Linked DNA regions of Oreochromis niloticus. The protein of the gene in region 3 binds, or shares a complex with, the protein of the main gene of each other region. Links are inferred from orthologs where the notes say so. Each region holds a gene or a part of one and is shown on either strand. Other genes may lie near its edges.

Region 1 (7,635 bases), on a different chromosome or scaffold from region 3:
GTATCATTCAGTGATAGTGACAATGCTCTCAGACTGCAGGATAAGTAACTCCTTGTGGTTTTTTAGTGGCTCTTCAAGGCTCTTTCTGCCATCTAGTGGCGGCTGTGTGGAATAACTGAGGGTTCCTCAGATTTCTACATGTTAAAGCCGTTTAAGCCTAAATGTGCACCTTTACCATTCTGTGATCACCTGAGTGACACCTGAAGGAAACCTTTACTCACCAGGTCATAGATCTGATTGGCCAGCTGGACTTTCTCATCTGCATCTTCCAGAGCTTTGTAGTAATCCTAAGAACACACGCAGGTTTAACCCAAGATCCACACACACACGCACAGAAACAAGAAGAATCCGCCACCTCTGACCTTTTTAATGACCTCCATCTGCTCCTCCCTCCACTCTGGTTTGTTCTTCTTGGCGTTTACAAAGAACTCAATGACCTTCTGCTCCAGCTGATCCGTGGCATCTGAAGGAACAAACAGGAAACAACGTGAGAAAATGCAGCACTCAGCATTTTAACATCACGTGTGTAAAGTCTGAGTGCGGCCCTCCCTCAGGTGTTTCCTCTCTGGTGAACTGCAGACTTATTCTGAGCCTGGAGATCACCTTTGGACTGTAGCTGTAATGAAATCAGAGCTGAGGACTCACCTGGCCCACACTCCCTCATGTGATTTGTTTCTGAGTGTTTCCTGCCAGCTGAAACCTGCAGCAGTGAGTGTGCCATGTGTGGATAATATTTGTCAGATTTTGTTGATTACTGATTGGATATGCTCTCTGACCTGACCTGCTTCAATGGTGCAGTATAAATAAAGTTTGATTTTAACTTTATTTCTCCAGCTCTCACTCAGTGAGTGCTCCTGTTATGTCACAGATCTGTGTCTCTGAACCAATGTGATTAAAACTGAAGTGGTTTCATCATCACTTTAAAGTTATATAGAGTCTGTGCATTTTTAAGACCAACTGAAAACGCCCACGGACCGAGGCTGACAACTTCACACAGCTCAGTCTGCTGATCCTAAAGACCAATAAATAACCTGAAAACCACCAGGATCTAATATAAGAGCAGAATTATGCTCTAATGAAAATGAAAAAAATTGTGTAAAAAGCATTTGCAGCAACAAAACCATAGTATTCCAGAAACACGCTTTGCTAATTACGATGAGCGCATCCGCCATTACCTACCTGAAACCAGAAGTGGCATCATCTTCGCGGAAAATGTAGTTTTTTTTTCCTATAGGGCATTTACAAAGATATGCTGGTGGTTTTAAAATTCATGTTTATGGCTTTCTGTACAGTTTCTGGGATGCTTAGAACTCAAATTACACTGCTGGAAATAGTTTATGTTGATGCACATGCTGTTTTTTGCAAATTTGCATTACAATATTTACTTTTGTTTTTCCTACAGTATATAAAAATTTGTGTATGTCAAAAATAAAACTATGAATACACTCAAAATAAATTTCCTGTGGTTGGAAACTATTTTGTGCAACTTTTTTGCATTTACAGTTTTGAGGGATATACCCCTGAAATTTCTCTAACTAGAAATATGTGTAAAAAAACAACAACAAAAAAACAAAAACAATTGTACATTCTTTTGTAGTTTATTGCACTTTTTTGCAATTCATGTAGTTACTATAGCAACTTGAAATACTCACAAAAAATGGCACTACAGCATCTAAAAATATGAAGATAAGCTCTGGCAGACTTGGTTTTATGGTAGGTCTTAAAGGGTTAATATCCTGAGGTTTAAACAGATAGAAAAATGACAGCAAAGTGTCCAGCAATACTGGACCTGTATTTATTTGGTATTGGATCAATACTGAAATCTGCAGTATCACACAGCACTAGCGCCCAGCACAGGCTCATTCAGAGTATCCCTAACACTGATTTATTATTACACCTTTCAGAGTCGCGTTTATAACACTGTTACAACATTGTTCTTTTTTTTCTGGCTGCACACACAAACGTTTAGAAAGTGGTTTAATTTATCTAAGTCTAAGTCCAATTAAATTTGTGTCAGTGATTGAAACAAAATATTTTAGAGGAAATGATTACTATTTTAATAATCCTTCATTTTAAATTTCAGTTCAAAATTAATTTTGTTCAGCAACTTAATTTACCAAAACATATTTTACTAAAACCTTTTTTTTTTTAAATTTAAACTTAACCCCCCCCCAAATATTTACAGAAATCCTGTTAAATAATCTCAGTTTAGACCAAATATAACTGATTATTTTTTTTATTTATAAAGTGTTAAAATGATGATCAGGACCTCATGTGAGCGTCTAACAGCGATAATCATTTTAAAGTTGCTTTATTAGCAACTTTACTTTTCATGTGCATGAATGTGAACTTTCGGATCGGCAGTGTTAAAGGGGAGGGGTCCCTGTAGGTAGGTGAATGTGACCCTGCAGGTGGATGCTGTGCTGCAGTCTCATGCTGGTATCTACTGGGTTTCAGCCCGTTAGCCGCCTGTGCTAACATGTGCTAATTAAGTAAGCGCAGCTCGGGCGTTCATCGGCGCCGGGACGCGACTCTGTTGCTTGGACAGTCCCAGCAGGGCTGCCACTATGTGTGCATTCCGCAGCACGCGTGTCCCCGGTGTGGTGTGGCCGGTGTGTGGCGCCGTTGGCGGCGGGGTTGTACGTACTCTGAACCTGCAGGTCCATCTCCCTCATTTCCGTAAACCTGTCGCGGAGATCCATGGGTAGCTGCTCGATCACTGCCAGGAGAAGAAAAGGCGGTTACCTGCTAGCACGGCTAGGCTAACTGCCGGAGCCGACCTAGCCGGTAAATAACACATATTTAACGCGCAGCAGAGCCCTGTCACACCGCCGCCGCTTCGTTGCAGTCCCATACTCACTCTCCAGGTAGTCCTCCAGGTACAGCATCGTGTTTAATTTAAGCTTTCAGCCGTTTTCTCCGACAATTCTCTGCTTTCAATATGGCGCCGCCTGCCAACGTCTGCCCAGAAAAAATACCCAGAAAAAAGGAGGTCATGGATGCTGACGCAAACGTCTGCCTGCGCTCTGATTGGTTCAAATACAGGCAGGCGTTGACAGGACAGATGCATCATGGGAATTGTATTTGTATTTACATTTATTTACGTCTTTTAGGCAGTACAGTAATCCTTTATTTATTTATTTATTTGCAAATAAAAAGCAAGAGGGTTGTTTTTCTCAAGCCTTGTAAAATATTTCATTTCGACTGCACATTTACACAAAGCTTTGGGACATTTTTTTACCTGAAAAATTGCATTAATGACCAGCTGAAAATTATATTTACTTTTCTACAAAAATATGTGGACAGAAACAACTAAAGAGATAGTAAGAATATATCCATCTCACCACCATTTCTGTTCAGATATGTTTGTTCATGTATTAAATATTAGATTTGTGCGTTGTGGTACTAATTTAACACATTTAAAGTATGTGGACAAACAGTATAAGCTGTATGGTAACTTCTGTCCACATTCGCTTGTGTTTTCACACATGTTCGGCTGTTAATTAAACATATCCCACTTCATGTGACTATAATTATTCATGAACCGAGCAGCGATTCTATTTTAATGATCATATATTAATTATAAGTTCTTATCATTGATTTTAATAACTTTAAAATGAGTGTACATGTTAGTCTATATACTTTTGGGTATATATATTGTTTTAGATTAGTGTTATAAGAACCATCCATTTACCATTTAGATAGCCAATCACATGCATTCACATAATTTTGATCACAAGTGTGAGCAGAAAAACAAACAGGCAGCCTAAATGGCCAAAATTATGTAGACACAAACGATATGTCTTACTGTATTTCCGTGGAAGTTTATGTCCACATACTTTTGTCATACATTTTTCTTTCTACGTCTTTATGTTCAGTGTCCGGCAGTCCCGTGTGTAACACAATAATATATGTGCAAATAGTCAGAAAGTATGTGGAAAATAATTACAAGGTAGCCTAAAATAAGTGTCCACATAATTTCGGGACAAAAAGTGCTGCTGCAAAGAGTTTATGACCAGAACTATGTGGACAAACACTCCAAGCGCTGTGTGTTTCCTGCAGCTTCATCCTCTCAATCTCGGCCTGCTGACCCCACGGCTGTGCGGCTGGAGGCGGACACATTCCTCTGTCCTCCCCCCGGACGCTGTGAGGGAGGAGGCGGAGCTGCTGCTGCTTTAATTAGTGAAGAAGGAGCAGCAGGAGGAGCAGAGGAGCGGACGGTTCGGATTGTTACGCAGCAGACTGCCGGAGCTCTGTGTGTGTGTGTGTGTGTGTGTGTGTGTCCGTGTATTTTGTGACAGTCTGGATCTGTGCGGAGGTGTGCGGACAGCGGTGACCGGTTCGGAGCGTGCGCAGTGAGGACCACCTGCTGCTGGTCACCGAGCGGGCCAGGGCGCGCGGGGACGGAATGCGGGTTTCACGCACGGAGCACGCGCAGTTCCTGAGCGCTCCGTGCTGTGTGAGTGCAGCGAGCATGTTGCCATGGTGCCCCGGGCTCAGATGAGCGGCACGCGGAGGAGCTCCGGTCGGGATGGCTCGCGAGGACGCAGTGAGGTGTCTGCGCTGCCTGCTGTACGCGCTCAACCTGCTGTTCTGGGTGAGAGGAGCGGGCACGCGCACGACTACAAGAGTGTAATTGCCCTTTAATGATCAGTGTGTTAGAGTCATTATACTAAAGCAGTCAAACAATGCAGTATTTTACTGTAGTAACTGTAGGTACTGTGTTTAGTGGCAGTTCTGTGCATAAAGTACTGTGTGTCTAGTAGTAGTTCTTTGTCTGGAGTACTGTGTTTAGTGGTAGTTCTGTGTACAGAGTGCTGTGTTTAGTGGTAATTCTGTGTACATAGTACTGTGTTTAGTGGTAATTCTGTGTACAGAATACTGTGTTTAGTGGTAATTCTGTGTAGAGAGTACTGTTTAGTGGTAGTTCTGTGTACAGGGACAGGCAGTGCTGGGGTGAAGCAGGCCGGGTGTTCCTCGCTGCCTGCTTCACATTCTCAGATGTTATTATAGGCAGCAGAAACATATCCATGTGTTTATTTCTGTGTGTCCAGCTGATGTCAGCATGTGTGCTGGGAGTGGCGGCGTGGATCCGTGACTCTCTCAACACCGTTCTCACCCTGACGGCCCACACCAGGTGAGTCTGGCCGGGCTTGCAGCTCAGGTATGAGAGCCAACCAGGTGACAGCACCTGAAAGTTTTAATCAGCTTTATCTGACACACCTTGTCTCTGATAGATGATCCAGATGTGAACTAAACAGCTGCTTTTGTGAAGCTCAGAGCATGGAGGCTAATTCATGTGTGTGTGTGTATATGCAGGTTGGAGGAAGCTGCCGTCCTCACGTACTCTCCAGCTGTTCACCCCGTCATTGTTGCCGTGTGCTGCTTTCTCATCATCGTGGCAATGGTGGGGTACTGCGGCACGCTCAGGTGTGACCTGCTGCTGCTCTCCTGGGTACGAATGCTCACATCAGACACTTCAGACAGGATCTTTACTTTAACCAAAGACGACATTTATCTCAGATTTTACAATCAGAAGCAGGAAGTCCACGTCCTGGATTCAGCTGGCATTGAGCAGGAAACAGTCTCTGAGTGGTCTGACACATTGGGAAAAGCACAGATGAAGTCTCTGTTGTGAATCAGCCAGCAGAGGAAACATTGTTAGCTGCTCTGACTGTTGGTCAGTGTGTTACCTGTATGTTTGCATGACTGTTGATCAGTGTGTTAGCTGTGACAGGTCTACACTGAGACTGATGTCATGACACAAGCGCCCGCGGCTCCCGCCTTCCTGTGATGGGGTTGGCATTTTGCGTACACAGTGAAGTGGGAACATCAGAAACCTGGAGCTGATGTCTCTGAACCTGAAGCCCTATGAGCACTGAGGCAGACTCACCTAAGCTTCATCATAATGACACACTCCTCAGGTAGACTGAGCTCTTATCAATTGGTTCTGCTGCAGCCTATCAGAGCATCATCTGCTCACCAGCTGCTAAACAAGGTGAAGAGGTCAGCCTCTACCTCCACACGCTCCACCCGCCTCACACACCTGCATATGGGAGGATTGAGCTCAGTCCAGAGTCCACCACTGTCAGCAGGTGTGCAGGTGTATGATGTCACACACAGCCCACTCTGGACTCTCAGGTAGAGCTCACAGAGGTCACACTGTCCACCCAACTGTGTGTTTGAACTACACCACCTGTTTGCTGTGCTCTGATTGGGCAGGGCCAGGTGTTGGGTGCCCCATTGTTCCCAACAGGTGATAAGATTGTCTCCGAAAGATGAGCTGCTGAGAGGAGCTTCAGTCTGCTACAGGGACTACCCCAGGGCATGATGGGAACCCGCTCAGCCAGTTCCAACACACACACCTCAGTTAGTTGTGAGATTACATAACAGTAGATGTCACTCATGTTTGTGAGTGAGTAGGTTATTCAGGTGGACAAGGAGATAAAACCAGCTTCAGACATCACACATTACTGTGCTGCTCAGAGTTTAGAGCTGCAGACGCCTCGGGGCTGTCACTGAGGGAGGGGACGACGTCGGCTTCACGGCTTTCTGACAGAAAGGTTTTAGGTTGATTATCAGACTAAACTCGTCTCCGCCTGTGTTTCAGTACTTCGGCAGTCTGTTGGTGATCTTCTGTGTGGAGCTGGCCAGTGCTGTGTGGACCTACGAGGAGGTGAGAACATTGAAAGCTTTGAGTCCCTGAACGTGTCATGTAGTCAGACGTGAATGTGTTTAACCAACAAACCATCAGAGCAGGTAAAATTATAATCATGTTTCATAACTGAGCCTCTGTTCATGTGAAATTCTGCAGCTTTTTCTCACTGACTGATCGTCATGGCAACAAGTTTGTCAGTACGGAGTTATGGTGGTGTCGCACACATGCAAGTGTTTCTGTCCTAAACGGATCATTTCTCGCCTCATGCACCGGCTGGACTCCCGGCTTGTCTCTAATAATAATCAGGAATCTCAGACTTATCCGGCTCCTCTTTCAGCGCTGTCACGACACGCCCGTCACCTCACACCCACCTGCAAAGTACTTTAATACATCTACTCCAGTACTGCAGGGTACATTACCTGCAGTAGTTCGTAGGTCAGTGAGTGTCAGACTCACGCTAACGATAACAAAATAAATATTGAAGGCTTGCTCCTCTGGGAGAGCTCAGAGAGCCTTGAGCAGCGCTTCCTGACTCGTTGCTTACAGCCTGAGCTTTTCCTGCTGATTTCTCAAAGTTCTCAAAGTTTCAGGTGATCTTCAAACTTTATAAACAACAAACTAAAGAAAAAATCTGATTGGCTCAATCAGATTTTAGGGGTGACAGAATATGTTCTTTAGTTTGTTGTTTATAAAGTTTCATTTTGAATGCTGTCTTTGAAGCACAACAGTTTGAGCCAGCCTTTGAACTCTGACCTCAGGCTCATCTTTTATCTCTGGATCAGCTGCCTGCAGGGGGTTGTGGGTATCGTAGTGAAGTTTTTTTTTTCTTTATCAGTCGAGCAGACACTCACACATGGACCTCAGGTTGGTCCCTGTTTGGGGGGTTGCAGTAAAAACCTGAAGTTCTGAGTGTGTGAGGCCTCAGGCTCACTGTAGTGTGTTTTGGGTTTGTTGTGTGGAAAGTGGCTGGAATTCTT
Region 2 (7,474 bases), on a different chromosome or scaffold from region 3:
GGGGCTGAAGGACAACACAGGGATTAAAAGAAAGGTGCTAAATAGTACTTTTCCTTTTTCTTTTTTTAAGGGAAAACCAAATAGTTTCCATCTTTGTGTTTCAAATCCGCAGCAAAGTGATACATGATGACACATGGTATTAGGGCAATTGAATTCAGCTTAACTCAAAGTTTGATTGGTCCTGCAGTACCTTGTAAGCTTTGGTGACAACCCGGCTTTTCCTCCGAGGTGCGTCCTCCTCCTGGTCACTGTCCGGCTCGTCACCTTCATCGATGTCGAAGTCACTGTCAACTTCGTCCTCTGTATCTGAATGTTCTCCGTGATACTCATCATCTCCCGATTCCTGAAAGACAAAAAAAAGGAGCAATAAATAAAATCAGGAAAAGAACAACAGAACAAACCATCTGCAAGTAATCTGAGACATAACAGCAAACACCAAATTTCCCCTGCATTTTTTCTAAGTGTAGTTTTCAGGCCTATTGATTAAAATCTCACACATTTCTATCTGGCAAGTGTGTAGCAATGTATTCAAAGTCACATCCCATTAAGAGATTTAATAATAAACAGGTTATTTATTTTTATTAAAGATGTTTTCCCTCATTGTCAAAGCTACATCACAAAACTCAAGCAAAACTCAAACTCAAGCCTTAAGCCCAAACCAGGTGCAAAGATAAATAAAATAACACAAATGCATTATGCGCACTAACAATGTGAATTTTCAAATTTATTAAAACAAATGTGGGTCATTTTGAAACCCAACATCCAATGACAGGAAAGATTTAGAAAGCAGCACAAGACAAAAATATCCCTGAAAACTGCACAGATAAAGGATGCGTGTGCACACACAGGCACGTTCACAGTGCTTTATCAAAGTCCCAGCAGAGATGACTGAGGCATCTCAGGATCTGTTTGTGATTTTTTTATGAAGCCACTCTTGTCAGAACTGCCAGAGCTGCCGGTGCCAAATCCCCCTACACAAGGTGGCCCCTGAACCAGCAGCTGTTTGAAGAAAATTAGCCACACTGTAAATTGAGGAAACAAATTAGCATCTTCAAAAGCAAGCCATAACGTGTGAGATTGCTACAGCATCAAATGTTCTGACAAACAATATCACACAACTTTCTTCTCTCTTCAAGCGTGAAGCGGGAAAAGCTGGCATCATCTAGGCTCTGTTTACAGCTGGTGTTCAAACTATAATTGTAAGGCCAACTCTAAACTAAGCCATGGTCACCATTTCGAATGAACAGTGGCAAGACACACTCATTTTTAGATGTGTCCTTTTAATTCACCTCATTTCTCTTATAGTTCCAAAACTGTACTCTCAGATCTGAGAACCCCAGCCTAATGACGAGCTTTCTCCATTTATCTTTCCATTTTGTGCTGCTAATCCAGGTCCAGGTAATAGGCGCAGCAGTGTTAGTAGAGAAGCCCCAGACCTCCCTCTACCGGGTCTGCTCCAGGGCCACCTCCTGCTAATACACACTCGAAACACCTCCCCTAGGAGGCATCATAATCCAATTCTTGACCCACCCCAACCGGCTCCTTCTGATATGTAAAGTAGACGCTATACTGAAATCACTGAACTCCTCATTCTTTCTCTAAAGCCCAGACACCATTTGGAGGAAACTGATTTCTGACGCTTGCATTTGCAATCTCGTTCTTGCCCACAGCTCGTGGTCATAGCGAGGGTAGGAACACAGATCGACTGGTAAAATCGACAGCTTCGCTTTCACACTCAGCTCAGTTTTCTCTCTTGTCAAAATCCAAAATCTGATGAGATTGTTTTTCAACATCACTACGGAAATGATGGCAGGAATGGTTACTGTTAAAAATCACAATCAAACATGACTCCCCAATTACCAGTGAGAGTTAATTCACTTTTGAACCACAGCCTCAGCCTAGTAGAGAGGAAGTAAGTGCTTTCAGTGATGGACTGCTAAATTTATTTTTTACTGCTAAATTAATTAATTAATTTATTTTATTGGATTTATACAAAATCCAATAAACCCCAACAAATTAATAAAAATAAATAAATAAATACATTTAATTGATCTGCCCTAGCAAGAACCTGATAAAACTAGAATAGCTTTTAAAATTGCTGTTTACATGCACATAACCCTTTAGTCAAGAGTTTCCTGACAAACTCTTTAAAAGTATTGAAGTATAATGCAGCAGCCCTGCCATATATGATACTCTCATTAGGATTTAATATTAAAATAAACGTGTGAAGACGTGCTGGCTTGTCTAAAAGGTCTGGATCGTGTAATGCTGTGAGAGTCTGATTTATATCAGTGAGACCCACTCCCAGTCATGTCAGTCTCAAAATCGTGAGAGATGTCTCCTGTACTAGTGCATGGTCAGTAGCCTGGCAGAAACTAAATTCTTCCGTTATACTAATTTGTAAATAATATAAATGTATAAATATAAAAGTGAGTTGGCTGCTTGCTTCATTGTCAGGCAGCAAATAGACATGAACCAAATTCCCTAAAAACGAGAAGCGGTAATTCAGGTATTGCGCGCAGAACAAACTTTGTTTTTAGGCTCTAGTCATTAACACTGGAGCCGGCTAATGCTAACTCTTTATCGCGCTCTGTGTTTATCAGTTTGGTTACTCACATCGTTGAACCCTCCGTAAGTGGTCTTGTAGAACTCATCCTCTTCTTCAGCATCCAGTAGTTTGGACATACGGTTTCCCGCAGTCTTTCTGGGTTCGCGGCCAACTGCGAGGCTCATGATTGTGCTTTCCAAACTATGCTAATCAATGCTAAGCTACTTAGCTCGTTATGTTACGCTAAAAGATATAGATCGTTTTGCGGGAACCTCTTTGACCTCGTCGTTACTCAGTATATTTGCTTAATTGTATGTAGGTGCCCATATTTGTAGACCCTTTTAAATTCAAGGGATACTTTATAATTTTTCTTATAAGAGGCGATAAACACTGACAAATGAAATGTACAACTGACCGGTAGCTCTCGTTTAGCAAGCAACCATATCCGGGACTGTTGATCTACTTCCGGGCTAGCGGGCGGACTAACAGTTTATTTTAGTTGTCTGGCTTGACATGGAAAAAAATAATCAATTACGCAGTTAATGCGAAGCTTCTATTAGGAAATATTTTATTCAAAAATTGAATAACTGTTTCAGGAAACTGTGAGGTATGTGTGCGTATGCGTTGTCATGGCAACTCTGTAATTTTTGTAAGCACGATAATGACTGCACTACTCAGCAGTCTCTATCTACTGTTAAAGTCATTTATTTATTACGCATTTATTTATTATATTTGTTTATTGTTAGCCTGAACTAAAAATTATATCCACCCCTTACCGTTTTAGTTGTCAGTTATTGCAGCCAGCTCCACTCACCGGTGAAGGTAAGTTAAGTATTACGGTCTACTTGCCCACAATGTAAGTACAAAACTGCTTATGGAGATTTTTTAAACCTTGCAGTTCAAATATAGACGCATTAAACCAAGTGCTGTGTGTGCTGCTCCTCACTGGATGCTGTAGTGCTGTAAATTTTTAAGTAAGTACACCAAATTTGTGAAAGCATAATCACTTTAATTTTTCCAAGTTCTTGGATAGCAGAATTTTTAAAAAAACAACCAACTTGCATTTCACACATTTATTAAATAATAAACAGTGCAGAAATTAATCAAGAAAAAACAACATGCTACAGAAAAGAAGCTACACAATAACCTGCACATTAACCTTAATATAAGGTTAATACCCCTATTGTTAGATTCTCCATATCTCATCAGTCCAAATAGTCCACCCGAAGTCCAATGTAACTGTTATTTTAAGTTCACTCTTTAATTTATTTTATCCTCATTTCCTTATTTTTTGTGTTTCAAGATAAACATGATCATGGTTTGTCAGGTCACATTTCTTAAATGCAATTTAAAATACTATTAATTAAGATTTCATGCTCATTATTATCAGATTCAAGCAAAAAACAAATAAATTGAAGCATCTTGCAGTTTATTCACTGATACCTACTCATATCAGGTGAATATATTCTTTGCTTATTGACTCATAACAGCTTCATGGTAAACCTCCCCGTTTCCATATAGCTGCTTGTCCCTCCATTACTGCTCGACATGGCGCTTCGTGGCACATACGCGATCGTGGCTGTGTGTTTTATCTGACCTTTGCCCTTACTCCAGAAGAACATGAAAATGAAACAAACACTCACAGAGCTGAAAAATGAGAGAAACCCTATGGTTGCTGCTATCAGTAGCGTCTTTACATCAAAATGGAGTTTCTGATTTCCATTCACACCTGGAGCAGCAGATGGAAAGGCAGACCAACCTTTAAGACGAAATGGTTTCTTAGAAGATGATGGAAAGGTTTGGACATGAAGGCTAACGGGCAGGCTGTCGTTTCCCGCTGCGTTTGATGCCACGCAGAGATACTTGCCACTGTCTTGAGGCTGAGCATAGCGAACCTCCAGCGAGCCATTGGACAGAGCTCGTACTCTGCCGATGGGTGATAAAGATCTTAGCTGTGGGTTTAGCCATCTGACAGATGGCAGAGGGTCACCTTCGGCACTGCAGTGAAACACCACTGTGTGTCCCTGATCTACTTTCATCACCTGAGCTTTGCGGTTCAGAATTCGAGGTGGCCGACAGGTGAGCAAATCCGGCAGCTCAGCCTCAGGGAAATCCAGAAAATTCCAGCCCTGCAGCTGGACTGAGGTAATGCAAGTTGGCGGACTTTCACCAAAGTCCATGTAGAGTCGCCTTTGCACCACCCAAAGCAAACGGCAGTCACATGCCAGTGGGTTGTTATCAAGCCCCAGAGTTCTTAGGGTGTCCACTGAATAAAAAGCTCCAACCTCAAGTGTGGTAAGATGGTTTCTGGATGCATTCAGCAATCTGAAGTGGGCCAAACCCTTGAATGCTCCGATTTCAATCCTAAGCAGCGATCCCCCAACAAGATGTAACTCTTGGAGCCGGAGCAAGTCTCCAAGAAGGTTTGCATGAATGTAGGTGATGGGGTTAAAAGAAAGGTCAAGGTATACGAGATATACAAGGTGATGTAAAGGGATGTAGGGAAAGGCACTTAGGTTGCCATGTTTAATGGTTAGTGATGTGAGGTTTAAGCCAAAGAGACTGTTTCCTGACAGACTCTCCAGCCAGGGGCAATGAGAAATGACAAGTTCCTTTAGGTGGACTAGGTGGCGGAAAGAGTAGTTTGGCAGCGTAGTGAGGCCCAGTCGGTGAAAACTAAGGCTTCTCAGCACGCTAAGTTGTGTGAGCGCCTCTGCTGGCATAGCAGTTAGGTTGCAGCCATCAAGGTGCAGCTCCTGCAGACTGGTTAGTCCTGTAAAAGCTTGATGAGAGACATAAACCAAGTCATTATCTGCAGCTTTCATGAACCGCAGGGCGTTTAATTCACTGAAAGTAAAGTCGAGGAAAACAAGAAGCTGATTGCTGCTTACGTCCAGTAACTGGAGGTTTGTTAAGCCAGCAAACGCTCCCACTGGGATAATCTTCAGATGATTGCGACAAAGGCGCAGAGTTCTCAGACTCTGCAAGCCAAGAAAGGCTTCCACTTCAATTATTACCAAAAGATTGTCACTTAAATCCAAGTCCGACAGCTGTGTCAGCGTGTGGAACTGCTGACGCACCAAAGTCTTGAGTGTGTTTTGGGTTAAGTTTAGCAGCCTGGCTTCCTGTGAGAGACCATCAGGAACTCTGGTAAGTTGGCCACCAGAGCAGTTCACTTCCAGCGCCGTAGCGTTACAGTGGCAGGATGGCGGACACAGCCAACGCGTCTCAGATGTCAAAGCCACCCCTGCTGCCAGCAGGTAGAGAGCTCCCCAGCAAAGCCGTTGGTGGACGGCGCTCCTCTCGAACATCTGGTGACCTGTGTGTACGAGTGAGGGGATAGATAAAGTGAATCACAGGTGAAAGGAGTCATGGGTCTTTCTGTATACATTTTTTTAATCTTAAATTATTATTTTTGTATCACCACTGCCAGTTAGGAATAGAGAAAAGAAGAATTGGATGTCAACTTGTCACATGGATGGTGGCAGAGATCTCTTGATTGGGTTAAATCCACTTTATCTTATGCCAGTCTGACTTTAATTCAGTTTAAACTCTACATAGAATACACTTTAATTTACAAAAACCTGTTTAACACAAGCGATGAATGTGGCAGATGTTCATTTGATCCTCGTTCTTTGATTTACTCCCTAAAACTCTCAAACTCCTCCTTTGAGCTCTATGTGCCAGAAGAATTTACATCAACAGGGAAAGTATTAAAGTGCCTCACTTCAGTGGAAGGAGACAAAGCTTCCCCACTCTCATAATTCCATGGCTAAAAGAAATAATGTTGTTCCTACACAACATTAAGTATAGTGTCGGGCGGGCTCCAACAGTTTTTGTGTTTTTGTTGTGTGTGTGTGTGGTTTTTGTTGTTTTTTTTTAATAAAACTTGGTATTCAGCTCTTTCGTTGCTCATCTCCATTCCAGCTCCCTCTCTAGAAGATTAACTAAATGGCTCTAATTAGGATAAACAGCAAATGTGACTATTTGATTCAGTCACGATGCTGAAAGAAGCCACTTATCCTCAGTTATGTGGCAATATGGTTGCCAAGCACTTGGCACGATACGTACGTCTTCTTTTCTTTCTATTTATTAATTTGCTTGTCTAAGCGTTTTAGACACCACCACCCCCCCACACACCCCCAAATATGAAGAGAACACAATTAATACGATTTGTGGTCTTCTATGGGAAAAATTATCACTCCTGCATGATCATGCATTTTGACTAGATAAGCCAATAAAGATGAATGTGAAAAAAATAGATTTATAATTTTAAATCCAAGCCATAATAACATTACACAAAGACCTTTAATGTATATTGAAAAAGAACAATTTATTACACGTGGAAAAAGTTTGTTCGCTCGTAACTAAACCCACTAGTTAATAATGTGATCCTTTTGTTCTTGACAAACAGGAGGTGTATATGGAAACAGCTCGTACCCCTGCAGACTTGTAAGGTGATATTTTGTCGTTTATTTCACACAAGAGTTAAGGAAAAAAAAAACCTTATAGGACCTCAGGTGTTCTGATAGAGTTTCCTTTATTTGTAGTCCTGGAAATATTGAGAAATGTGCTTTTGACTGACTTTAAGTGTTAATAATTTCAGATCATATAATACCTTTCATTCATCAGTTTCATAATTTTTCTCCTTTATCCTCACTGATGTGACATTTAGGCCAGATTCACATCTGAAGTACTTTCCAAAATCATCCGTCTGAAACCTCGACACCTGAGCGATTCACTGAGGGAGGCTGGGAGTTGAAAATCTGAGCTCATTATTTTGTTACAGTTCTCAAAGCTCAGCGACAAACCTCCACACTGTGGATTAGTTTAAAAAACACATTCCCCTCTAATGTAAACAACCAACGACAAAATAAAGATATTAAATTAAGATTTTAACTTCTCGGTGAATTGATATTGCAGTTC
Region 3 (7,058 bases):
TGTAACAAGATCACCTACTGAACTTACCCAGCTTGCACCTTCTCTTTACTCAAACTGTCAATCATCTTGTTGCCCAAGTCATAGATCGTCTCCATCTCTGTAGTCTTTAGCGTCAACTTGCCCACCTTTGCACCCTGATCCAAGGCACAAAATTCTCAGTAAGTTATATGAAGTACAGTGTTTTATATCTACAACAGTGTTTACATGTTCATTTAACTACATGTGAAATCTATACTGTCTGTGACACTCGGGTTGGGCGACTGGATGAAAATATCGATTATTGACAACAGGCTGAGCCCATCGGCCCATCGGCGATCGTTTTCACACGGGTGATTTATTTATTTATTTGCCCGCCCATGAGTAAGTTTGCTAAGAATGATGGAGCTAATAGAAGCAGTCAACAGAAAAAAGATAACGGCACCCTCTTTCATCTGCGAGCAAACGCCCCCTCCTCAGAGTGCGCCCAGATGCTTGATGATGTAGCTGCAGAAGCTGCTGATAGCCTAGCATACTCAGCTGGACGGTGGACACGTACATGCTCATGCAAGTTAGCCGTGTTTGAGTACTTTGCTCGCACTATACGTCTGCACAAGCGCACACCGCTTTGGTTACATCCTCAGGTTTGCTGCTTTCATCTGGCTTAAAAATCCCAAATTGGCAACTTTATATTTTTTTAGTGCTGTCAGCGTTAATGCGCCATCGTCACGACTAACGCGATTAACAAGTAACCCATCAGTGCGCAGACTGAGTCAAAATCCCTGAAATGTCTCTGTCAACACATTTTGAGCAGTTTGTCCAAAGTTCGTTCATTCTGCGCTCCCGATGGGTTCAGCGTGTTAAAATTTTTAATCGCGTTAATCGTGATGACCGCGTTAACGCCACAGCCCTAATTTTTGGGAAATTAGTTCGTCCATGTTTGGACTTCTTCTGTGTTGTAAACGTGCAAATCAGTCCGTGCATGATTACATTGCTCCGCCCATCAAAAAGTCTGCGCATGCACGAATATGTCGCCCATCGTCGATTATTGGACTGACGATTGTCGGTTGGAAAATTTTTACATATCGCCCAACCCTAGTGTGACCAATAAAATACTTTCCAAAGAACCACATAAAAAGACTGGGTTAACTATATTATGAGTGTAAGCTGCTTACTGTTCCTGTGGCTGGTCTGTCAATCTGGATCTCGACCACCTCTCCTTCAATGATCTCCGTCTCCTCTCTGTTAAAAAACAAAAACAGTTAATAGCAGTTCTTTTCGTATAAGAAGATTTACCAAACCCTATTACAGCATTTGCTCACTCACTTGATCCTTACTCCGATGGCTTTTCTAAAAGCTTGGCTAAGTGCCTCAGTCTTGCTCATCTCCAGGGAGAAGATCTCACTACCAGCCAGTGCTGTAAAGGGTGTATCAGGGCCAAGAGACTGGGCGATGCCTGCATTGGAAAACCCCCCAAAATCAAAAACAAAGTCTCAGCCAAACCTACACTCTGCCAATCAAGCTAGGAGCAACAAAAATGTACCCTAAGCCAATTCCATCAATCCAAGAAACCAATATCTTCTAACTGGGGCTGATATTATGTTCTGGAAAGCTTCCAGTGGAGCTCTTACCCATAGCAATTGCAGTCTTTCCTGTGCCAGGCTGGCCAGCAATCAGTACTGCCCTGCCAGCAATGTGGCCATCTTTGATCATCTCCAAGATGACTCCTGCAGCTCGACGGGAGGCCAGCTGGCCAACCATCCCCTGAGACACCTGGAATTGAACATAGACATGTAAAAGGCACATCTCCTCTACACAGACACAGAATATTTAAGTCACAAATCTATTACATGCCCCTTAAGAAAGAGAGGAAAAGGGAATTAAAGCTACCTGTCTTGGCTCCAAAGCATCATCCAAACCAAGGCCACGAATGTGAGAATGTGCACCTAAACACAAGGTGAAAACAGATAAAATAATGTGAGTCACAGGAAGTGAAAAAACTCTCAAGAATCAGGTACCATGTGCACCTATCACAGCACTATCACACAGTAACCAATCATGTGTTTCCGGGTCTCAGTCCTACCAATTCTCTCGATTCGTGTGATGTCACGAACCTCTGGAACCTTTGTAGTTGCCATCTGTATTAAAAGCAGAGAAATCATTCATTAGTCACTATAAAGTGATCCTGCCCGCTTTCCTACCACTACTTTTAAATTTAAAAACATGCATTATTAGACAGAGTATTCAGAGTATCCCACTCTATGTCAGAATGTCAAACAATAGATAAATAAAAAAAATATTCGATCCAGCAAGAGGTTCAAATATTTCTACTGACGTTTTAACGACATACAACCCAGTCACCATTAAATAAATGTTAAAAAACAAAACACTTTGGTGATAAGACTACCACAACATTAGATTGTCAAACAATTAACACTTTAAAGAGCCCGTCCTGGTCAGGTGGTTGTCATAGTGACAGAGTTGAGCGCATGCCACAACAGAGTAAGAACAGTGTTAGCATTACGTTAGCCTAGTTTCTAAGGCTTTTTATTCTTCGTATTTTCACTTTTTCATATAAGCAACGGAAAGCTCGGGTATCGCCATTACACAGATTTAATAACGTGGTACACCAAAGCCACAAATCTAGTTTGGCGCCAAGTAAACAGAGCAAGGACAGTGACAAGTAATGCTAACACCAGCTAATGTTATGTTAGCAAATTAGCTAGCTCCATTCAAAGCTTTCTTCTTTGAGTAACTCCTGCTTAGCAAGACGAAGACGCGATGTTCAACAGAACACGAAAGGATGATCTTACAGGACACATCCTGTAACACCACAGTGTGAAAGCCTGGAGTTAGCACTGTTTATATTGATCGCATGAACACTCACCTGTGCAGCCACACTTACGAAAATGTGAGAATGCGGCGCTTCTTTCTGATTGTGCGCAGATTAAAAGCGTCCGTACAGAAACCGCTTCTTTTATTTCTTTTTCCTGCTAGGGGATGTTTGGGTTGACTGCCCTCTATGGGCTCGATGGTAAAATGACAGCACGAGCTTGTGACTTACAGGGAGTGGCAGGAAACCTTACCGGTGTCTTGATGCATTCTCAATCATCCAGGAAAGTAAATCTCCAAAAGTTGAATCTGTTCATCTGGACGTAGCGTTTGGTGGGAGAAAAGTTTCGTCACTCATCCAAGTGACTTCTTCAGTCTCAGCTGACTGCAGGTTTCCCCAAACCTTATAAACAGTACATTTGCATAATGACTGAACCCAGCCCACTAAAGGAACAATGGGCTGTGAGGTCAGTTCCTTAATCATAATTGTGCAAATTCCCATGACCATTGATCAACAATCACTGGCCATCTTACAATGCTGTGATTGCAGCCATTCCCCAACTCTCTGTGAATGGTACTCATGGCCATTGATCAGTGTTCTTTGATCAGTGGGTTCTGGTCAGTGATTGTTGATCAATGGTCATGGGAATTTGCACAATTATGATTAAGGAACTGACCTCACAGCCCATTGTTCCTTCAGTGGGCTGGTTTCAGTCATTATGCAAATGTACTGTTGATAAGGTTTGGGGAAACCTGCAGTCAGCTGAGACTGAAGAAGTCACTTGGATGAGTGACGAAACGTTTCTCCCACCAAACGCTACGTCCAGATGAACAGATTCAACTTTTGGAGATTTACCGGTGTCCTGGATTATATTTTGGACATTTTAATCCGTGAAGCCCGTTTCAGTCCAGAGTGGTTAAACTGTGTGCTAGGCTCCCTTTAACTCCCTTTTCACATTTTACCTTTTCTTCTCGCAACAAAATAGCCCGTCCGTGGAAATCTTTAATATTTACTGGTATAATGTAGAATGTAGAAATGTCAATGTCATACTGTACGTAAGCTGGACCAGCCAAGGAAGCATTTTGCACTGTTTTAGTTACTGTTTGCACACGTTAACAGCGGAAGCTTTCACTTCAGTCACCAGCCACGATAAAAAAAAAAAACCTGCTCAAACTTGGTACTGCAGACGTTTGTCCACCAGAGGTGGCAAGACCCCCGAGTTGTATTAAAGGTTTAAGAATTTCAAATTTGAAGCCAAAGTTTTTGCAGAGTGGTATTGATGACCGCAGCAAGCCGGATAAACGTTTGCTACCACCAACCTCAACTTTCTACAGGCTCCGCTTCATTCATCTTATTGTGCATAAAAGCCTCTCTCATTTTTTAAACTGAGAAATATTATAATCCAAACTATGGAGATGAGTTTGAGATTTTTATTGTCATCTTTGTCTCAAGCTGAGCTTCATATTTGCAAAAAGTAATTTTAAAAGCTTAAAAAATCAAGACTGCAGTATTATTGAACAATGGGAAAGCTTGCCTGCTGATTATAATCTTAAGGTTTCTGGAGGGGTTTTCATATCCTCTCCACTAGACCGCTCAAGCTTCACCTCAAGGCCCAGGCTTAAGATTCCACAAACTGAAGTCGCTTTATTTAAACATCACAGCAGAGCGACTGCTGCATGGTAAAAGGGCAAACCTCGGATTGGATGCAGTTTTATCATCTACGCTGATCAAGTAGAACTCAAGTAGTAAATTTTGCAGCTCCTGAGTCGCTACACTAACTCAGAACTTTTTAATGAAGAACTTGACGATACATTAGGACTCAGTCATACTTCCATTCAGCATAACGAGCCTTAAGCGTCACAGAAACCTCTCAGTTACACCTCGCCTGTTCCTGTAGAGTTCCCTGCTGACCTCTCAGCTGCTTTCCAAAACACTGTGCTTTAAGCACACACAAACACACCATCTCCTACTAGTCCACACGCAAAGCTGGGTCTATTTTACATTTGCTTATGAAATAATTGCACTCTGAGTGATGTTGCTAATGGCAGGAAATGTCTGACTTTTAAAGATCTTACAGATCTGGCTTAGAGCTGATTAGCTTGAAGAGTGAGTTAGGAAGCTCGTCATCATAGAAGAAATGAGAGAAAAAAAATCCACATCACAGCTCATGCTTGTTACCAAAAGTTTATTTGATAAAAAAAAGCATAATATCACAAATGGTCATCACATTGTACAAGGTTCATTATTTTGAATTATAGTGTAAATATGCATATACTATATTATTTCTGAATTAGTAAATGCTCATTGACTTTCTACAACTAATTTTACACTGAACACATGTTGATTTGCTGAATATTTGCTCATCAAGCATCGTTTCCCCCATCAGCACATATTGGATAGCAAACAAAACAACGATCTAATATTAGAAAAAAAAGGGGGGGGGGAACAAAAGCATATTTTCTCACAACAGTACTCGTCATCCACACCCACTGATCTTTGGATATGTGTTACTTAATCACAGCTGGATAATGGTAATGGCTGACTCATACCAAACCCAGAAGCCTGGATAGACAGGTTCACTAAAGGAGGCCTTAAAGCGGTGGATTAGAGACATGGTTTCCCCAACAGTGTAGAATGAGAGAGTACCCCCGGCGTGATCCAGGAAAACGCCGATGCGGGAGGAGTAGGGCGCGTTGACCTCTTGCTGGTCCTTGTTGTGGCGGGCTGAGTAACTGGAATCAGAGCAGAAAAGGCTCCATGACTTGCGGTTGTAGCCGATGCGGCAGCTGTCACCGTAGCCCGTTCTCTTGATGCCTTTGTAGGCGATGCCGATGGAAGCCCCCTCCCCACTCCAGTCTACCTCCCAGTAGTAGGTGCCTCCAGAGAGGGGCTCCTTACACAAGACCTGGGGCAGGGAGTCGAACCTGGCAGGGCTGTCAGGGTAGGACTGGGGGTCTCTCTTGAGGGCAGCTTTTCTGTTCCCTCGTGACAAGTAAAGCTGTCTGTAGGCTGTGTTTTGGTCAAGGGTGAGCTGGCAAGCATCTAAAGATGGGTGGAAGATAAGTTCATTATTTACTCAACAAGAGGAAGTGCTTAACTTAAATCACTCTGGGATAAATGTAAAAGAGGAAAGCAAAGAAAGCCAAAGCATCTGTCCTACAGCAGCTGAAGCACCCCACTCCAATGCAGCAGCAGAACGTCATCAACATCTCAGTTAAACTTCTACTCACTGCGGTAGAAGTTTAATTAGCTTCTGCAAAACACGCTTTGAAGAAAAAGCAAGAGACCCTCTGGCTGGACACAGAAATCAGAATAGTCACCTGACTGCTGTGTATCTCCACCTCTGCAGGTCACAGTTGGTGAGACACCCGATGCCCTCGGCTAGATCTGCCCGGCCTATGATCTGGAATGCCAGAGGTATCAAACACTGTTTGTGAGTTTGACCACAAACAGAATTCCAGCTAGCAAAGACCTTTTTTAGCTGTGAGGCGAGTCAGTGACTGTGCAGTTTTTCCCCTGCTGAGATTTTGAGCCCCCAACGATTTCTGTTGAAAGCTGGATTAACCTCCTGAGACTCTGTGTCCTCATATGGGGACATTACATTTAGACTTACACTTCATCTTACTCAATAAATGTTTAATACTCTGTTAATAATGACCATAAAACTATATTGTGTTATGCTGGAAAACAAACCCACTGTCTCTCTATTGAGGACATACTTTTTAATATATTTATATATTAAAAAAAACCCTTTCTATTCAAAAGCGATGCTTCTTTTTTTTAAACTAATCAGCTTCAAGAAAATTTGGAGAAATTAAAAATGCATCCCAAACGAGAGCTCGGGTTGCAGGAGGTTAAAATGCAGCTTAAGTAAAAATGACATAGCTGTGCAATATTTGCAGTGAATCAGTCCCAACCTCTGTCAACACTGTAGGACAAACAGCAGCTTCTAAGAGCAGATTTAGTGGTCAGCCACAGGGTCTGACAGAGAACCCATCTAATTTGCGTCATGCAGTGAACTGAGCAGCGAGAACAGTGAACTGTGTGGATCAGAGGAGACTCACATCTCAGGAAGTCCTCCCTGTACTGAGGCTCCTTGACTGGCATAGACTTGTACATGGGAGCTTCGTCACCTGTGAGAGGAAACACACAGAAAATCAGACAGAGCTGTGTGTCAGCAGTTTTTTAATGTGCTGCAGCTGAACAGCTAATATGTGTGCAGGAGGTAATGTTCCTGTTCACACTATCA
Region 4 (6,704 bases), on a different chromosome or scaffold from region 3:
AATATTATTGCACTGGGTAAAGTAGTATAAGCAGGAGATGGTCACTCATTTCCTGCTTATTTATAGGCATGAGAAACGTTTATTCAAGGCTGGATTTCCAAGAGGAATCAAAGAGCAGATGCCTGAGTTGGATCTGTCCAAAGGTCGCAAAACTGCTCCAAAGCACAATGCTACATTCAATGATACAGTTTAACCTGAGCAGAAATATAAAACCAGAAATTTACTGTGCATCTAAGATGTAATCTGGTTCATAACCTCTTTAAATCTAACATTTGAGTTGTCTGTGATTCAAAATGTTAATTCATGATTTTAAAAGTTGCTAACTAGAAGCAAGTTTTTTTTAACTTTCTGGAAGCTGTGTAATTTGTTATTAATCTTATCATCTTATCCTTGTTATTACGAGCACCTTCCACTTAGAAGAAATGTGAATAAGATATTAATTTACTGGGTTATCTGTGTCCTGCTTAGGATTATATAAATACAATGCTCTCAATGGACTTTCCACCTTTTTGGAACACACAATGGAAAAGTTAATAATAGATGAACGGTAGTGCTAAAATAATAAACATTACAATTTCCATTTCCTGAAAATGTGCTTACTTAGCATCTGATAAGAGGTTAAAGATGTTTATACATTTTTTTGCATGCTCCATTAAAACCACTGACACTGATCTTCTCGTTATGATCCAATGTTCTGCTGGGACACCTGACTCCCGGCTTTCATTTAGATATTACTTAGACAAGCACTGTCCACCTAAAATGTGTTGCAGACTAACTCTGCACTTGTATGGAAATAGTACCCGCTGCGAGTCTGTGGTCTCCTCCCACAGGACAATGTGTACTCCTGCACCTTAAAACAACTCGAGGAACATAACAAAGATGTCGTACCTACATGTGGCTCTTTTGTCCTTATACTGCGGCTCCGGGTGGTTTGGGAAAATAAATTAGAAGTTTTTAGCTGAAGTGTATTTTATTTGTGTTTAAATAAAGGTCTAAATTGGAAGATTATTGTGATATTGAAATATAAAAATAAAATTATATTTTATTATTTTTCATCGCTCAAAATAAGCGTCACACTCGCGGAAGCCGGTATACCCGCCGAAACGCCGTGCATTTATCGAGACTTTCAACCCCAGGTAGGCCAATTATGGATCTTCGGATCCACATTATGTCAGCAGCTATTCTCCACCGTGAACTATGTTAAAAACAAACACCGCTCACACCTCACAGACGACAGCTTAGTTCTGCTTAAAGATGAAAGTGACTTCGTACAGCCCCGATTTGCAGACGCTGTGCGCAGAGGTTCAGGAGCAGAAGTTCCATTGTAAACATACTACGGCAAACCCGCTGCTTTTCAGCATCTCTTTATTGACCACTTTTCACACACGGTTGCTGTACGCATACAGCCGGCTGCAGCTTTTCAGCTCACAGCCCGACAACACAAGAGCAGAGAGCACAGACTTTAAGGCTGCGAGGCGTGATTGCGGGTGCAGCTCAGGTGCGTCCGACTCCCATGCAGCGGCACTGCAGACCACGCCCCGCCACACACATTAACCAGATAAAATGCATATTTAGGCAGAATTTTGCAAATATCTATTTTTCATTTTTTAGCAGCATAGTGCTTTTTTTCCAATTATTTTTTAAAAGTCAGGTCAAGGCTCCAAAAGCCCAAAGGTGGTATAAGGGAGGCGGCTCACAACAGTTTTTGTTTGCTACATGGATCATTTTAGTTCAGCTGGGTGTCCTTCCTTTTGTTAAATTTCTTTAAGAGTTCAAAATGTGTTAATTACATAAATAAAATGTAATTTTCTCTGTAGCACTTCATGGATTTCATAAGGAACACACTTAAGCTGTTCACACAAAGCATAAAGGTAAAAAAAACAATATATACAGTGTTATCTTCATTTTAGATGTCAAAACGTATTTGCGGCTCCCAGTGTTTTCTTTTGCGTGGAAACCGGGTCCAAATGGCTCTTTGGGTGTTAAAGGTTGCAGACCCCTGAGATAGACCAAAACTGTTTTTTGTAGCAGGTTGTAAACTTGTTTATTTCTGCTGTAGAGTTGGGAGTCTATGCGACTTGACTAATTTGTTGAGGAAGTCTCAAGTGGCCACTAGAGGAACTACAGTTTTTGGCCCCAGAGCACCACCCAGCATTCCAGAAGACCCAAAGGGGATCCCCCTGAAGATGCCACCCCCCGGGAGGTCCTGTGTTTAAGAATACTTTGGTGGTTTTAATGTTGAGTTTTACCATGATAACTGGTAATTACTAACAAATCCACTAATTTACAGACACAAAGAGAATCAGTGCAGCTTCTTTTAGCCCAGGTTCCTTCCAGTGGAATAATCCAGCCCTAAATTTAACTCTTAATGTGTGATCCAAGCAGGTTGGAGGTTGGGTTATTTTAGGACGAAGCTCTGTGAATGCACATGAAAACAAATGCAGTGCATATGCACTCTGTGCTGTCTCATTGCATGAGGGAGCAAAACTGACAGCGACAGGTAACATAAGCACGTATTTTGAGCCAGGTGATGACAATAGGCGCTTCAGTTCCTTTGTGATCTTTTTCAGAGCGCTCAACCGTCTCAAAGCCTGCACACACTGAGCCGCTACAAACAGATTACCAGCTCCACTATTAGTGGGCCGCTGTGTCAGGTAGCTGTCATCAGCGGTCAGGCGGCTGCTCTGTCATTTTGTGGCCATGTGACCTGCAGGTACGTCTGTTCCTGAAGGGATTCCGGGATGTGCAACAACAAGCTCTGTTTACATCGGCTAAATTTGTACTCCCTGGATAAAAATATGAGGATGACCTGCCTCTTGTGGCCCAAAGTTGTCTCACATTTACCAGCCGCAGCTAAAGAAGGGATCCAGGTGCAAGATGGGAAATCTCTTATTCATCTATTCTTTATGCTTCTCCTCTTTTTTGTGCTCTGTTGCAATGAAGGTATTAAAGAACAGCTCAGTCATATTTCAATAAAGTCTGATAAAATCCGAATACCCGAGGCCTGGCTCTTGAGGTCTCAAGGTCACAACACCTGATACAGAAAGATGACCAACCATCTGAGTGACCAAAGAAACAATGGTCGTAATCACCGTTTTGGGAGCACAACAGGGCTGTGGTCAGTTTAGTTTTTGTGGATATAAGGCCAAAGAGTTTTATATGTGCCTGACAACTCCACCACAGAACAATAAACATCAAAGGTCACAGTCTGGCCGGCTGTGACAGCCTGCGGCCGCCGTTCCTAAAATGACAGCCCTCGCTTTCAGGGAATGAGACTGCAAACATCTGACAGCTGTTTCCGATCAATAAGGCATTGCAGCTGAGTGGGCAGTGAACCAACGTGAGGCTTCAGGCAGGTGTGTTTGTCAAGTTTAAAAGGTGCTTGACCAGCTGCAGGAGCAAGAAATCAGCACTGGTGTCACTGAGGGGGTTTCGTTTTTATCAGCAGTGGAGTTATGCATGAGCTCAGACTGTTACAGCAGCTTTTCACTGCTCTAAGGAAGATCGGCCCACTGCTTTGGTTTGATTTCAGATTGCACTGGAGACTCCTAATGGCTTTGATGGTCCATAACGACAGTAATAAATATTTGGCCCAAATGTCATTAGGATGAGTCTAGCTACCCCAGCAGAGCCACAGGTTCACCTTTATAGACCGAATGTCAGGTGTGCTGTGGCATCGAGCCCACCCGACATCTGCAGTAACCCAGAGCTTGTGATGTGTGATCTGCATATTTGGTAACTGAAGATGTCCAGATTAGACCCAAGTGTGTCTGCTGTGTGGGGCAGGTTGACATCTGTGGTTCTAATTGAGAGAAAAGTGACAGTCATACCTAGACCTCACTTTCCCCGGGCACATTCTCCAGCTTTTTTAGGGGGGTCTAAGCCTGCTGAGAGACATCATCGCTCCTTCATGACCTATTGAAGGGTTTCCTACCAGTAAAAAAAATGCCTAAAACACCTCACCTGGGAGGAATCCAGGAGGCATCCTGGACATACATCACCTGAACCACCTCAGTAGGCTCCAAATAAGGCTGACTTTGATAAAAGTCTAATGAAATGAACATCGATAGACAGCCATGTTTAAGTGAATAAAAGGACTTTGGCTTATTTTGAAACTCTGACTGGTCTTGGTGCACATTAAAATAATGTTAATTGGATAATGCTTCACGTTAAGTCCCCAAATAAATGCCAGGAGTTTCAGGCTGACTACCTTTGGTGGTTGAAGAAAGTCTTGGAAGCTTGTGGTGACCCATTGATGTATATGGTGCATCCAAGTGCATTGTGGGATGGCAAACATGGCATGAAGAAACATATAAAAAACATAAATAAATAAAAGAAGGAATCATATCATATTTAACTGGTTTGCTCTGGTAAAAAAAAAAAAAGAAAAGAAAAAGTTAAAAAAAAAATAGACCATGTACAAATTAATATCTGTATTTTTTGATACAGATGAATGATACAGTTGAATGGCTGTATTACCGCCCACCAGCAGGAGGCAGTAGAGTTCAAACTGTGTAAACCTTCAGCACCCGGAAAAGCTTCCTTCTGGTTAGACACATGAGTTTACTCTGAACCGGGTTCGATTTTATTAGTAAAATCTCTGGACAGTTTTTCCTACGTTTCTTCGCACTATCATGTCTTCAAAAGGCTGCAGCAGTGACGAGCAGTTTGAAGGACAGGCCGCAGTAAAAGAAGAGCTGAACAAGAAGGTAGCGTTAGCCCAAACATGCTAATATGGCTAATGTGGCTGTAACAGACCACAGGATGTCTCCCAAATACATAGGTTTTTGGTTATTTTCGTTATGTATAATTATTCTGCCGCTTCTGTTAGCTTTATGTGTCTTAACAGATTCAGATAGTGTAGTTTTTATCGGTGAAACTTTCCGTGTTGCCAATTTACAGATTAAAGAGCAGAAGGTGCTTGTGGACGAGCTCTGCAATCTGAAGAAAAACAGGGTGAGTGGAGGAAGTGGAAAAGTCTCAAAATTTATTAGATCACATCATTATCTGTGCAGTTATGATGGGAAACACGCAAATCACATCCCTATGTTGTCAGGCTGGTGCAGTCATGTGTTTTGAGAGTGTAAATGTGGGTTAATGCAGATTGTTTCCCCCCTCAGAAAGTCTACATCCAGCAGAGGAACAGTAACATCTTCTTCGTAGGAGACAGAAGTCAGACACTCACTTCCTGCAAAAGTAAGATGAGAGAAGTGTCTCTGGTTGAGAGGTGAAAACTTCCGTGTTGGAAGTAAAGATGAACAAAAATTCTAAAAAAATTTTTTAACTGAGAGTTTTTTTTCTGAAAAATGTGATACATCATGTGACAAACAGGGTAGATTCCAGATTAAGATGCAAAAAACAGATTTATCCCGCTTTGTTTATTTTTTAACATCCATCCATCCATCCATCCAATCGTTTTCTGCTGCTATCCAGGATAGTGGGAGACTGGGGGCAGTAATCTAAGCAGAGAAGGCCAGACCTCCCTTCCCTAAAGACCTCCACTTGCTAATTTGGAAGAAGACCAAGGTGTTTCCAGGCCAGCTGAGAGATGTGATCTCTCCAGTTTGTCCTGTATCTATCCCAGGGCTTCCTCTTATAAGGACATGCCCAGAACATCTCGTCCAGTCCAGAGTTGTTCTGATCAAAACTCCATTAGATTTTCAAGAATATGTCGATCAAACTTCAGGCGTCGTTATCAAGACAAGCTAAAGATTGAAAAGTCACCGGCATCACTGTGGGGGTGTTTCTGAGCCGCATTGTTTATTTTAGGTTTATGCATCAGAAACTGCTCAATAAAGGACTTTATTCAGACGTAGGTTTGAGAAATATTTGCAGTGAGGTAAAAACAAACACTGGAAATGTTGGAAAGTCTTGTTACTCTTGGTTGTGTCAGTGCCCGGCTGTTTTTCTGTTCTGTCTTTGCCGGCTTTTCCTGTATTTACTCATTTTGAATTTGATGCCAGTGAAGTTGGGAACGGGGTCCCCGTTTTTAAAAAAAAAAAAATTAAACACTCAGCAGCGTGTTTTATGCTATAATAGGACTGTAGTGAAGGCTCTTATGGCTTATGTAACTAGTGCATTGTTCTGTTTGCAGAGGAGCTCGATTATATGAAAAAGGAACTTCAGGATATCTGAGGCCACAGCAACGCCGCGATGTGTGGGATCTTCTGTGCGCTGAGTCTGGCGTCCGCTCACTCTCAGTGGAACCAAAGAGTTTATGAACATTTAAAAAGGAGAGGGCCCAATTCGAGCCGGGACCTCACCATCACAGACTCAGATCTCAGCTATCGCTGTTTATTCTCTGCTCACGTTCTTCACATGAGAGGTCTTCTCACTGCTCAGCCGCTTCAAGACAACGCTGGAAACATCCTGCTGTGGAATGGAGAGATTTTCAGTGGCCTGCCGGTGACGCCAGAGGAGAACGACACCGCGGTTGTAGCTCAGCGGCTATCATCCTGCAATGCCCCTTCAGAGATTCTCGCTGTCCTGTCTGCTATTCGTGGACCTTGGGGGTTTGTTTACTACCAGAAGGCAGGAGACTACCTGTGGTTTGGCCGAGATTTCTTTGGTAGGCGGAGCTTATTATGGACATTTGACGCAGAGGCCGGTGAACTGACTCTAACTTCTGTGGCTGCTCACACTTCTGGTCCCAAACAGTGCGTGTGGCAGGAAGTCCCGGTAGCTGGTGTGTTCAGGGTTAACCT

What was found.
Region 1: ruvbl2 (region 3) and ing3 share a complex: the UniProt entries of both Homo sapiens proteins name them as parts of the SWR1-like complex. The link is inferred for Oreochromis niloticus from reciprocal best matches to the Homo sapiens genes RUVBL2 and ING3.
Region 2: the proteins of ruvbl2 (region 3) and vps72a are in contact, whole or in part, in a cryo-EM structure (PDB 9CA9), measured with the Homo sapiens proteins. The link is inferred for Oreochromis niloticus from reciprocal best matches to the Homo sapiens genes RUVBL2 and VPS72. Residues at the interface, in NP_006657.1 of Homo sapiens: Glu141, Val142, Val143, Glu144, Ile145, Gln146, Ile147, Asp148, Arg149, Pro150, Ala151, Thr152, Val187, Gln188, Ala189, Gly190, Arg207, Phe209, Thr210, Arg211, Ala212, Asp214, Tyr215; in NP_005988.1 of Homo sapiens: Pro210, Ile211, Ile212, Thr213, Tyr214, His215, Ser216, Val217, Thr218, Arg260, Cys261, Ser262, Arg263, Thr264, Thr273, Glu276, Trp277.
Region 4: ruvbl2 (region 3) and asdurf share a complex: the UniProt entries of both Homo sapiens proteins name them as parts of the PAQosome complex. The link is inferred for Oreochromis niloticus from reciprocal best matches to the Homo sapiens genes RUVBL2 and ASDURF.

What each region holds. Positions count from the first base shown.
Region 1 is NC_031981.2:23,000,086-23,007,720, reverse strand, and holds the start of ing3 (inhibitor of growth protein 3), read right to left. Parts: upstream 3,021-7,635; 5' UTR 2,889-3,020; coding exon 2,861-2,888; intron 2,720-2,860; coding exon 2,648-2,719; intron 464-2,647; coding exon 363-463; intron 288-362; coding exon 222-287; intron 1-221. Other genes in the region: tspan12 (tetraspanin-12), read left to right, coding at 4,483-4,632, 5,055-5,137, 5,320-5,455, 6,611-6,676. UniProt on the Homo sapiens protein: Component of the NuA4 histone acetyltransferase (HAT) complex which is involved in transcriptional activation of select genes principally by acetylation of nucleosomal histones H4 and H2A.
Region 2 is NC_031985.2:19,712,437-19,719,910, forward strand, and holds the start of vps72a (vacuolar protein sorting 72 homolog a), read right to left. Parts: upstream 3,017-7,474; 5' UTR 2,734-3,016; coding exon 2,617-2,733; intron 344-2,616; coding exon 191-343; intron 1-190. Other genes in the region: leucine-rich repeat and immunoglobulin-like domain-containing nogo receptor-interacting protein 1, read right to left, coding at 4,030-5,859. UniProt on the Homo sapiens protein: Deposition-and-exchange histone chaperone specific for H2AZ1, specifically chaperones H2AZ1 and deposits it into nucleosomes.
Region 3 is NC_031975.2:1,309,782-1,316,839, forward strand, and holds the start of ruvbl2 (ruvB-like 2), read right to left. Parts: upstream 3,004-7,058; 5' UTR 2,864-3,003; intron 2,420-2,863; exon of another isoform or gene 2,312-2,419; intron 2,115-2,311; coding exon 2,060-2,114; intron 1,923-2,059; coding exon 1,867-1,922; intron 1,750-1,866; coding exon 1,608-1,749; intron 1,433-1,607; coding exon 1,303-1,432; intron 1,219-1,302; coding exon 1,152-1,218; intron 135-1,151; coding exon 28-134; intron 1-27. Other genes in the region: ftr83 (finTRIM family, member 83), read right to left, coding at 5,325-5,851, 6,874-6,942. UniProt on the Homo sapiens protein: Possesses single-stranded DNA-stimulated ATPase and ATP-dependent DNA helicase (5' to 3') activity; hexamerization is thought to be critical for ATP hydrolysis and adjacent subunits in the ring-like structure contribute to the ATPase activity.
Region 4 is NC_031987.2:6,963,848-6,970,551, reverse strand, and holds asdurf (ASDURF protein), read left to right. Parts: upstream 1-4,502; 5' UTR 4,503-4,634; coding exon 4,635-4,709; intron 4,710-4,902; coding exon 4,903-4,956; intron 4,957-5,120; coding exon 5,121-5,196; intron 5,197-6,094; coding exon 6,095-6,135; 3' UTR 6,136-6,153; downstream 6,154-6,704. Other genes in the region: asnsd1 (asparagine synthetase domain-containing protein 1), read left to right, coding at 6,154-6,704.